Yarrowia lipolytica: one gene and its partners. The main gene of each other region encodes a partner of the protein of the gene in region 4 in a complex. Links are inferred from orthologs where the notes say so. Each region holds a gene or a part of one and is shown on either strand. Other genes may lie near its edges. The genes, in order: YALI1_F23351g, YALI1_D29852g, YALI1_E34870g and YALI1_F09896g.

Region 1 (2,900 bases), about 1.3 Mb from region 4:
GAAGGGCGTGTGAGACTTTGTCTCATAAAATGGAGGAGGTCTGACGTTGGTTGGTATGGGGTGGAGATGACATTTTGAGGGCATACGACGATAGCTATGAGATTCTCTACTTGATCAAACACCGTCTTCTAGAACGGAACCTCAAGTTGATACAAACAAGAGTTGCTCCTTATCTCGAAATAGCACTTTGACATGTTATTTCTGGATGGCTGAATCTATGATGGAGTACAATAGTGACGAAGTAAGATAGTGATGAAGTATGGAGGCAAGCTCTATCCCCACAGAACAAGTACATACGGTACAAGTATTCGTACGAGTGCTGTAACTACATCTGTGACAACATTCATTCATTATCTATAATCATCGATAAATTACTTTCTTGGGCTTACTTGTACTCGCACTACAACCACTCCTTGTTTCCAAGCTACCCATCCCACACTACAGCTTGTGAATACCAAACATTTAAATACTATATACAAGCCATGGTTACGGTACGGGTACGGTAAGCACAGATTACAAGACTCGGGGAGCCAGAGAAGCGACCTTGGTGAAGCCTCGCTCTCGCACCTCCTTGGCAACGACTCCGTTGAGTCGGTTACCCACGGGCTCGTTGGCGTCGTTGATCAGCACACAGGCGTTGTCATCAAACTGGATGTAGGAGCCGTCGGGTCGTCGGATCTCCTTCTTGGTTCGCACAATGACAGCCCGCTTGATTTCACCCTTTCGGGCCTTCTGGGTGATGGAAGAGCCGTTAGGAATGGGTCGGGCCCGCTTGACGACACAAACAATCTTGTCGCCGACACCGGCGTAGTTCTTGGGTGACTTTCGCAGCACCTTGATGCACTCGACCAGCAGAGCACCAGAGTTGTCGATGCAGTTGATCAGAGACTTGAGGTACAACATGGTGAGTGAGGTTGTGTGTAGTTGTGTTAGATCCTAACTGAGATGTTGAAATCTGGGTGAAAAGTTGGATTCTCGAAACCTTAAATGACAGTGTGTATGAGCAGAGCATATGACTAAGGAGGGCGACAATTAGCGGAGCCCTGGAAGAGGATTAGGTCATGTGAGTTTTTTCCAGGTATTAATAATATAAAGCGCCTATTGAATATAATTGCCTGTTGAGATTGTGGGTTTGTCACTTAAATGGGGATGAGATCCATAAGTGAGATGTATGCTAAGAATTTGGGAAAAGAGTTGGCCAAAAAAAGTGGAACTTTGTTACAGTATTGTAGAGATCAGAAACATGAAGGAGTATGATACAGCATGGGTTCCAGACATGCTGGAGATAGGCTGTAAAATACATTGAGTACCAATTGGTCAGCTGAATTGATCCCGCTTACTAAAATTCAACCAATATACCTAACAAGTGGTTCCACTATCATATACTGGAACGTGCCAGCTATGTCAAGCTGGTACAAGTACGAGTACAGTATGTACAGTACCTGTAGCGCAGCTAAGCCACCGGAGCCGACGACACTCTTGCATCTCAAATATCTAAATCTCCACGGAACCAATCACTCTTGGTGATCATGATGTCATTGTAGGGTGTGTAAGTGTTTTCAGTACGAAGGGAAACGCCAGACACTAACTACAAGTACTGTACTTGTAGTGTTTCTGCTTCAGTTATCTCGCCTCGTTCTCTCTCAGCCCACGTGACTTGAAATACAGCCTCGGAATCCAGCGCCAATCAATCCTCAGCTCGACCAAACCCCGCGCCACGCGTAGATCACGTTAGTACAAGCGCATTTCATTTTACACGAATCTCGCAGTGCGTAAATACAGTTCGGAGCTTGTGAAGCCATGTCAACAACCAATAGTTGGGGTTGTATATAGGCGCGAGGGTAGATGACGTGAACAGCTTGCTTATAGGGTACTGTCAAATCCTCCGGGAGTATCTCTGATCTTCTTCCATATCACCTCAAACCCCTGACCATGTATGCTGTATGCTGTTTTCTCATTCCACTGTGTCTGACATCCACTCATATTTGCTGTGTTGGGAGAGCCAGCCAACCTTGTTTGCTTATCCCTGTTTTTCCAACTCAGCCTGTGGGCCTGTTTTTTCCAGAATTTAAACACACATTCCATGTGTAAATAGAGTGACTTGCGAGGTGATCGAGATATGGAATTGATGTATGGCACGTCCGCTGGATCGCAGAATTGCAATGGATCTATATCAGAGCACGTGCCATTGCTCCATAAAGACCAAAAGTGGACACTTTACCAGCGCGCCATTTATTTTAGCGGCTCTAAAAAGGACCCCCCTCCCTCTTCCGTGTCTCTCGGTTAGCTCATTGCTTACCAAAAGGGTAGCCAAGCAATAGTTCATGTAATGTGAACAGGTGGATTTATGCGCATGTTGCAGCGTACTGTGACATTTTCTCAAGGGGGCCGAAGAGGGTGTTTCGGGGACCAAAAAGAGGCGGGAAAGTCGCTGGATTAATCACGTGACCACGAACTTGGGTGGTGCCTTCTCAAATCCCCGCTCGATCACCCCAAACTCCTCATTGCTACGATACCTACACCAAAGAGCCCTTCTGGTTTCGGACCAGAAACTCTAATGTGGTTTTAAAGTTCTGGACACCGCCTCGTCAACTTAGCAAAGCCAGAAAATGCAAACTTGAAAATAGACGTCTACTTGTTCTTGTATTGTATCAGCAACGACCGGTTTTTTTTTTTCGAATCCGCGGTGAACCAAGCTACTCCGACCCTCAGCTTGCTCGTCCAACACTGCTCTCGACCTCGACACGACCACGGCCTCCACGCTCGCTAGTATTCCGTCGCCGTTTCCAAAAATAGATCTCAGCTCACAGACACCTCTTGTGACACGATCATAAACCACTCTTAACATCACGGAAAACAACGACCAAGAACACACACAACTAATCCATAATGCTGCACCT
Region 2 (2,910 bases), on a different chromosome or scaffold from region 4:
AATGTTCGACCTTGTTGTGTCTTGTACCTCGACCACTTTGTCGGCGAGTTTGCTAGGGTTGGAGTTATCTTCTCTGCTGAAACTCATTGACAGAAAGGTACGACCAGTATTATCAACCGTCAATGCTGCGACGACTTGCGAAGACAATCTCAATCCCTTGGATTAATTGGCCAGAATTCTCGGAATTCTCATATCCAGAGGCTTTTGGAACTTGATATTCTCGTCCTGGTTCTTGACCAGGTTGTTTAGTACTCTCGATACTCGGGGCAGTATTCGAGGGATCTATACGCATTAGAGACGTGTTTGTCACCTTGTCAAAGCTTCAAACCCCAACTCCGATCTTGCAAAGACCATCTCGACGTACACAGAAGTCTACAGTATGTACTGTACTGTAAGAGCCACTCGGCTCTGGGCTTGTTTCAAGTTCATTACTATATACATATCCTCCTGCTGGGTAGATCGAATGAGATGTACGGATGCCATCCATCTGGTTGTGTTCGATGTACAGACACTTGCTCCTCTCGTATCTGTCTAAACCCACTGCTTCTTCTCTCGCTCCCGTCGCTCCAATCTCTCCCAGTGTTTCTTTCCCTTTGCCTCGGCAATCTTCTCGTCCATGGTCTCCAAGGCCTTGGCAATCTTTTCCTTTCGCGACTCCTTGGTCTTTTCTCGGATATGCTTCTTCCACACCATCTCGCCAATCAGAGGCTTGGCCTGCTCGTGTCGGGTCTCGAAGAAGGTCTTTTCCATGGGAGGAAGCAGCTCGTGCACTCCGTGCTTATGGGCCAGCTTGTACAGGTCCGACTGTCGTCTCAGCGAGTACAGAGGCTTGTGGGTCTTGTTGGTGACTCGCGACTTGTTGGGCAGGAAGGGGTTGGCGTTGGGGGCGTCCTTGAACCCCTTCTTGGCCGAGTAGTTGACAAATGGCTGGGGAGGGAACCGCTGGAAAAAGTCCTGCAGCTTCTGGGGCAGCTTGGCGAAGTTGGCGTTGGGGATGTACGACGGAGAGGCGTCGATGACGGGCACCTGAGCCTTGACGGCGCTGGAAACGGCCTGCTTGAGCATGTTGACCGACGGTTTCATTTTGTGTGGTGGTGATGACGAATCGGTGTGCAGGTCAATTTTTGATCCAAGTGGAAAACCTTAATTGAACTGGAGGTGAAATTTTTGGCCGTCGATTGTGGAACAGTATTAAAAGGTCAAATTGTGGAATATATGAATAAATGAGAATAAATATGTTTTTATAATCTCCTTTTTTTAGTTCAGGTTCATTTTTATTTCATTTTCAGCTGTACTGGAACAGTTTTGAGAGCGTATAGGAGTACTCGTTTGTAGATTATGAGTAAGTTTAGTAGTAGTCTGATCGAGAATCGAACCCCGGTCGTTCCGCGGAAACGTGGTTGTAGGTCGAGTGAAGAGATGCTCTTTTCAGGGTATTGAGTCGATGGTCTCACTTGGTTTGTTAGGAAGTCTTGTTTCAGCCACGAGATGAAATGATTGCAACTTTTTCCACTCATTTTGGACCATTACTCAGTGATATTGATGCATTCCAGTTATCGTGTACTTCTCAACAAATATATCAACTGAGTTTGACATATCTGTTGAGCTCATAAGTACCGTATTAACACGACTTTGACGGATTAACCCATAACTTGGTTAGTTTCGACGCTTCTGACTTACAAGTGGTATCTTTGGATGGATATGAACCGCTATGTAGACTCACTACTCTGCACACCAAGGACGTCGTGAAATACGTAAGTAGTGAAGTGAAGCGTCGGGTAATTGTTTCAATATCACCTTTTATGGCTCCATAGTACATACAATGGTATACTGTACATGTAGCTTCTGCAAACTGCCTACTGAGCATCTCCAAACATTGGATCCTGCACCCGATGCGAGGGTGTGGCTCCCGGTGGAGTGGTGATGGAGTGTGAATAGTCACACTGTGGAGGTAAATATCGAAATATCCAAAGGAATAGGGCTTGTTATGCCCGAATGAACATGAACATGTTTAATGAATGTGTGCCTTCATCTTTCAGCACTCCGCTCACTTGGAACGATCTGATGCTGAATAAAAGCCATAGGCTTCTCTGCACGCCAGTAGAGCATATAACTACAGGTATTCTTACAGAGTCTTAATCTAACCAAGACGCCAACACGCTATAAATTCCTTTTATCAAAACACAACGGCCCCTTTGTTAGTTTAGACCATCTCCTATGTTAGCCTACACCTATTCACATCTAGTTAAAGTCTTTGTTCAGCCGGACAAAGAGCGTTCAACAAAGAGACCAACAAAGGGACCAACAAAGATCATGCAGGTTGCTTATCAGAGTTGGAAATAAGGGGAGAAGGACTTGCACTTGTATTTAGATAAGTACTCGGAAATGAAGAAGCCAATAGAATAAACCAGGCGTAATTGGCAGTTGAACGTTCAAGTTTGGCCTCTGCCAACTCCATGCCACATGACGCCCCCACAATCTTTTTGAAGTTTCACTTTTCACCTTGTGAGTCACAAAGCACATCTCCGAGAATACGACTGGATGAGTTTATCTATGAATGTGAACGCCAGCATGGGACGAGGAAATGGGCGAAGCGAATGTCCTTTCTGGCGTGTTACAAGTATAATGGTCATGGGGTCTACATCAGGGGGTATATGTATATAGTTAGTGACGGCGGTTACAGTATCGTATGGTCACATAGTTATCGGACTACTGAATCAAACGACCCCATCTTTGCTCATGTCCTGATTGGAAGATGGAAAAGTGAATTATATCAATGTGCGTAGATGAAAAAGTTCAATAGACATCCGTGTATTTATCAATTAGGTCCAATGATGCAGGGCAGTGGCAAAACACGGACGCTCGTGGGGGTCGTGTGGGAGCTGGACAATGTCACGATGACAATACCAA
Region 3 (2,884 bases), on a different chromosome or scaffold from region 4:
AACGACATTGAAGCCAAACAGCGATGCAATGTAGAAGACGATAATTATGGGGATGGGCAGCAAGATGAACTCGGTGTGTTCCAGGAATGGCAAACTGGAGTAGCCGTAGAAGGTGACGAGGAAGTAGTAGCAGGTGGAAAAGGCGTACAAGGTGTTGCCGACAAACAGCGCCAGCCAGTTATCCTTAGTGAGCACTGGAAGAAGCACAAATTGCAGCACGTACAACAGCAGCCAGACAATGAGGAATCCATTGCAATGGACGTCAAAACAGTATGCGTACTCAAGAGCTCCTTGGGAGAACTGGTCACCTTTCTTCGTCAGGAATTTGCGTATAGTGAAATAGAAGACGGCGGCAATGATGAGTCCCAGGAGCAGGAAATCAACCAGGACCATGTAGAACATGAGTCTAATGATTCGGACGATTCCAGGTTGGTAGGCGAGTCCCCAACCAAGTGCACTGATCAGTAGCAGCACATTGAGGAGGATAAAGAAGGACGGATCGTCACGGGCCCACTTGTTCTTGGTCTGTTTGTGGTAGTAGAGGTTCTTGTAGACCCTCTTGGGTCGAAAAATGAGATAGAAGATTTCCCAAGATGCAGTTTCGAAGTCCAGTGTTCGGGGGCGGAAGATTCGACGGAGCATTTGCATGGGTCCGCCTCCAGACCGGCCAGCCCGCACATCCGACTGGTTCAGCGGCAGTCGGTGGTTCATAGTGTTGCGTGGCGGATTTCAGAGTTAATCACGTCTCCAGATGGTGATGCTGCGTTGTGAGGTTAGGGTGTTGGGAGGTGAACGTGGAGGTACCGGGGACATGTGCGGAACAGAGAAACGTGGCGTCTTGATGTGAGAAGCGACTTCTTAGTATATGAAGGTCATTGCGAGTAGCCGAGTATGTGAGCGTTCAAGAAGATCTCTCTCTTTTCCTTGTCGCCCTTTCATTCTGCTGTTCTGACTTACCTAAGCTGGTCACAAGGGTATCCCGGAGTCTATATCTTGTGAAGGTATGTCTACCAGAGTTGAGGTAAAATGAGCCTGAATGTCATGCCAACAATGGATGGTTGTGTTGATGATTCCAATGACATTCTTTGTTTTGTAGATATGACAGCGCTAAAATCAATCAACAGGTTCAAACGGAGCTCTCTGTGCTCGTGTCTCCAACAAACGTGCAAGTATTTCTCAAAGCGCAATCTCGATAATCTCTCTGTCGAACTGTCATGGGACCAATAACTCCACTACTAAACGAGACAGTTGAAAAGTTTCGATCCTGTTGCTTTCACAAAACCATACTGATATCACACCACGAGGATGTGGCAGTTCCACCCAGTCTACATTAATTACACGTGCTACGAGTACCGGCAGCACAGTATGTACGAGTCGTTGATTGTTGTTAGATCAACCAAGCAAGTCCAATTGGGTATTTAACAATTACAAATTGCACAAACCCCTGCTCGGTATATTTCTTGGTCATTCAAAGGATACTATGGGCAAGATATCTCCACATGTAAGTTAGAGGTCTTACCCGATCGCGTTATCAAGGTCCCGTGGGTACCTAATTATATCCCCAAGCTCGAGTATTTGTTGCAATCACGAACTTAGCACGCGGCTGATGAGTGCTTTTCCGGTATAGCCCAGCAATATCATACCACTCACATACCCTAATGGTGAGTTAAGGCCGTGGAGAATTAAATCCGAGACATATGTTGGACAGCGTGATGAGTATGAATTACACCAGATTGTAGTCGGATTTTCGCTTAGTCCCGTCCATTTTTTTCACACTTCTCCGACTACTATTTCGAGTCATTCTTATGACATACGTACGGAAGTCTCTCGTGTGTGCCCACATGTTCCGTGCAGTCCCAAATATACATAACCCTGGTGGCTAAAGCTGGACCGTGGCGCCAAAAGTTTATATTGTTTGAAGTGCGAACTTTGAAAAATTCACACAACATAAAAGCGTTGCAAAGACCAGACAATCAAATTCGCAATGTTCAACGTCCTTCGATCCATTAGCCGAGTTCCGGCCATGATTACTCTTCAGCGACCCTCCCTGTTCCAGACCGCTGGCCAGGTGTCTCGACCGGCCGTGAATGCCGCTGCCGCCATCACCGTCCGAGGAATGAAGACCAAGTCTGCCGTGCGAAAGCGATGCCCCGACTGCTACGTAAGTATCCATCCACAAGAGTTTTTCGTGACACTGTTCACTAGGATCAAGTGATTCCGCCCCTTCTAGACACGTTACTAATATCAGATTGTCACTCGAAAGGGTCGAGTTTTCAACTACTGCAAGACCCACCCTCGACACAAGCAGCGACAGGGTTAAATGATGCTATTTATTGTAATTGTACATATTTCTGATTTACCAAGGGAGTGTGGGGGCGAAATTGCGTACACTGGTTTCGATGTGGACGGAGTGGATGTGTAGATAGGTACTGTATTCAGTTTGCCGCCTGATCGGATGGCCACAGAAGGACAGAAATTGGAGATCTTACAGAACATGTACCGTCAAAATAATAAATCAACGCTTACACATCTCAAAACTTCAACTCTTTCAAAAGTTCACTACTTGTACAATTGTAGTTGCTTAGCTACTCATTATCTGAGCACATACACTGCAGTACTGATTTATCATCTCTATACATTGCTCACTAGTTCTGCCAAGTTTGCTTACTTCATTGATCAATTGATCATAAATTATTCTATAATATTTTGCATGTACATGTGACTACTGTAGCACTCATGACTTAGTCAACCTCCACCACGGTAGGGCACTTGCCGCCGCAATGGGCAGCACCCTCACCTGCGACAGGGAAACCTCCAGAGACTCCGTAAAACTTCATCAAGATAGGGTTGGAAAAACTCTCAAGCTCCTTCTGCTTATCGGAGT
Region 4 (3,004 bases):
GTCAAAATACTGCGGTTTTCAGGCGACAAAAAGAAAATTGAAACTTGCACCGACACTAGTGACACAGAACCAGTGGCCCCATGTCTGAAATACGCTGGCTCGTCCCGGGGATCGTTTCAAAAGGACGTGTTTCTGTGTTTCTGAGGGTTGCTAATCCGGGGTAAATAGTCTCCCTTTTAGATTCCCCTTTAGATTCCCTCTTTGCTCCGTATCACAAGACACAACATGGGCTGACAGCACCCAAAAGAGGTTCAGCAAACACACGATAATTACGAGTGTCGTGGTTGTGGACCCATTGTTTTGTGTCGGACGAGACGTTTGTGGTGGTCTTGATGGAGTTTGTGGTGGTTATCATCTCCCAGATTTTTTGCGTCGTCATCTCTCTGGGGTTTCTCCGTTATGTTCTTGCTCAGTCTTCCTTGATACACCAGTTGGTGTCTTAGGTCTCTTTACCACGCCTTTGCCACTGGATATCATGCATCCGGACAGTTGGCAAACCTCATGTGATGGTCGCGTATTATCACGTCTGCAAAGATATATAAAGACATGGGTCCCCTCCCCCCTCTATCTTTCCGTAACACACGATGCGAAATACCAACACTACCAACATGAACCACGACCCACCGGTGAGACGCTCCGGAACATGCACCCTGTGTATGGACAAGGTGTACATTGACGAGCTGTACACTCATCGCAAGATCTGTAAACCTGACGATACGGAAATGATTCTGGCCGATAAGCAGTCTGAAGAAAACCTCGCAAGGCAGTACTACCTGCATCCCACCTATTCACAACAGCAAAGATGGTGGGGAAGTTTCGTGCCCCATTTGTGGTGTCAGTAACCTGGCAGCACTAGCTGAGAAGCTGCTGTGAGATGTGAGCTAATCATACATGCTGACCTCCTTGTCCTCAAGATTTAACATAGCTCACACCTGGAACCTCCGCTACATACACTGTCGTGAATTCCAGATACTAATTACGAATACGAGTACGAATACGAGTACGAGTAGCTACCGAACAAGTATGCCCGTGTTCAATCACTCATGAGAAATGAAAACGAGAAAAATATAATGAAAAATACGATAATATTATTGATGAATACAAAATCAGTTGTATATACCCCAAGTACAGTAGCAACCATTGGTTTAGGACCTTCATATACCAGTACATACATCTACAGACAAAGACAGCGACCATAGATATGGTAAGAGCACTTGTATTGTCATGTGGGGGAACGGTATAGTTGTCCTAATCAATCTGAGATTCATTATGAACAGATTTCTAGTATTTATCCTCCTTTTTCTATGTATAATTGTTAGAAATATTCTATGCAGAAGTTGTCCGAAATGTACTATCGATAACCATCATGTGCATGTACAAGTACACTGTACAAGATGTATCATACGAGAATGTACTGTACCGATACTTGTAGTCATTATAGATATCCCACTCGAGGTTTTTGTTTATGTCGTGTAAAGGTCTCATTATCGCTTGGATCAGTCCGATACCAGATCATCTCTCACTCCTGGTCTTCGTTAGTTAGCTTCACTGTACTTGGACTCTAGTTGAATACCTCGTCTATCAACATTACAACAAGTCACTCAAATCAGCTCCAGTAAACTCAAATATTTCCAAGAAAATTGTATGCCCATTTTTCCCTTTCATTTTACACCCCTTTTTACAACTTCTACTCCTCTGGCACCGGTATTCCAACATTTCCCACAAGACACCACCGAGAATCGAACTCACCACCCTCTCACATTTCACCCCCCAAGCAGTCGTCCCTTCTCAGGTCCCAAACCTTATCCACTTACCCTACATGAAATTTTCACACAAGCACAGATACACACTCACGTTGCAGAGTTCCACAAACAGCACACCCACCATGTTTGGCCGTCTTTTCACCCGGCAATTGTCGTACCAGCAGCGCCGAATCCCCCGCTCGGCGATTCTGCAGGGTCCCGTGACTCTGGACGTTTTGGCCAAGGACTCGACCCGTCCTTATGGTCTGTCCGAATCCAAAAAGGAGATTGATGCTCTGAAATCGTCCCTGTCGGACTCCGTCAGCGGCCTGGAGGACTCTCTGCTGCTCCAGGTGCTCACACACAAGTCCTTTGCTGGCGGACTGCCCTCTCACAACGAAAAACTGGCGTTTGTGGGCCGAAAGTTTTTCCCAGTCTCGGTTCTCTCTCACAACCTGTCCAAGGAGGCCTCAAGCGACCCCGTCAAGGCTCTGGAGTCGCTCAACTTTGATCTGTCTGGGTTTGCCGCAAAAAACGGCCTCGAAAAACTCGTCTACTGGAACACCAAGGGAGTCACGAACGCCACTCCTTCATCAAAGATCACCAGCGGATCCGTCTACGCCCTGGTGGGCGCTATTCTCCTCAAGAAGGGCGAGAAGGCCGCCCATGAGTTCGCCCAGAAGGTGGTCCAGCAGAATTAAACTTGTATATATGAGGGGATGCACACCAACCAACCAAGTGTGAAGCACATAGCAAATGTGAATGATGAATGCATTGAATGAACAATCAAAGCCAACCAGCAAACGAGCGTGGATAGAGACACAGCCAGATCAGTAGGTATGAGTGTCAGATCGGCAGGTCGATGTGTTGTAATACAAGAGGGTAGGAGCATCACCAGATTACTATCGAACATACTGTAGTAAGAGAACGCATATACCAAAAGGATCCTTCCAAAGCAACATATAACCTGAATCGCAATGTCAGCAGAAGATGTCCCCACTGCCATAGAGGTGGATCGATAGTCTACCTGTAGTATTGGTGCACGTGACCTAGGTCAGACTGAGATGTCACGTACAAGAATTGAGACGCAGAATCACACACAAGGTAGCCTCGGCAATATCACTAATTATCACCTAAGTGATTTCCGCAAGATCAACAGAGTCATTTGTGGCCCGCGTTTCTTTCATCAACAGCTACTGAGAGGTTCGATATATATACTACAGTTACTCAGCAGATAGTTGAGAGAAACAGACCAGATATTG

What was found.
Region 1: YALI1_F09896g (region 4) and YALI1_F23351g share a complex: the UniProt entries of both Schizosaccharomyces pombe proteins name them as parts of the mitochondrial large ribosomal subunit. The link is inferred for Yarrowia lipolytica from reciprocal best matches to the Schizosaccharomyces pombe genes mrpl15 and mrpl38.
Region 2: YALI1_F09896g (region 4) and YALI1_D29852g share a complex: the UniProt entries of both Schizosaccharomyces pombe proteins name them as parts of the mitochondrial large ribosomal subunit. The link is inferred for Yarrowia lipolytica from reciprocal best matches to the Schizosaccharomyces pombe genes mrpl15 and mrpl25.
Region 3: YALI1_F09896g (region 4) and YALI1_E34870g share a complex: the UniProt entries of both Schizosaccharomyces pombe proteins name them as parts of the mitochondrial large ribosomal subunit. The link is inferred for Yarrowia lipolytica from reciprocal best matches to the Schizosaccharomyces pombe genes mrpl15 and rtc6.

What each region holds. Positions count from the first base shown.
Region 1 is NC_090775.1:2,333,126-2,336,025, reverse strand, and holds YALI1_F23351g (mitochondrial 54S ribosomal protein uL14m), read right to left. Parts: upstream 904-2,900; coding exon 514-903; downstream 1-513. Other genes in the region: YALI1_F23331g (uncharacterized protein), read left to right, coding at 2,890-2,900. UniProt on the Schizosaccharomyces pombe protein: Component of the mitochondrial ribosome (mitoribosome), a dedicated translation machinery responsible for the synthesis of mitochondrial genome-encoded proteins, including at least some of the essential transmembrane subunits of the mitochondrial respiratory chain.
Region 2 is NC_090773.1:2,984,092-2,987,001, forward strand, and holds YALI1_D29852g (mitochondrial 54S ribosomal protein mL59), read right to left. Parts: upstream 1,084-2,910; coding exon 532-1,083; downstream 1-531. Other genes in the region: YALI1_D29841g (uncharacterized protein), read right to left, coding at 433-483. UniProt on the Schizosaccharomyces pombe protein: Component of the mitochondrial ribosome (mitoribosome), a dedicated translation machinery responsible for the synthesis of mitochondrial genome-encoded proteins, including at least some of the essential transmembrane subunits of the mitochondrial respiratory chain.
Region 3 is NC_090774.1:3,484,992-3,487,875, forward strand, and holds YALI1_E34870g (uncharacterized protein), read left to right. Parts: upstream 1-1,984; coding exon 1,985-2,161; intron 2,162-2,248; coding exon 2,249-2,320; downstream 2,321-2,884. Other genes in the region: YALI1_E34857g (uncharacterized protein), read right to left, coding at 1-711; YALI1_E34880g (uncharacterized protein), read right to left, coding at 2,742-2,884. UniProt on the Schizosaccharomyces pombe protein: Component of the mitochondrial ribosome (mitoribosome), a dedicated translation machinery responsible for the synthesis of mitochondrial genome-encoded proteins, including at least some of the essential transmembrane subunits of the mitochondrial respiratory chain.
Region 4 is NC_090775.1:987,808-990,811, forward strand, and holds YALI1_F09896g (mitochondrial 54S ribosomal protein mL57), read left to right. Parts: upstream 1-1,819; coding exon 1,820-2,443; downstream 2,444-3,004. UniProt on the Schizosaccharomyces pombe protein: Component of the mitochondrial ribosome (mitoribosome), a dedicated translation machinery responsible for the synthesis of mitochondrial genome-encoded proteins, including at least some of the essential transmembrane subunits of the mitochondrial respiratory chain.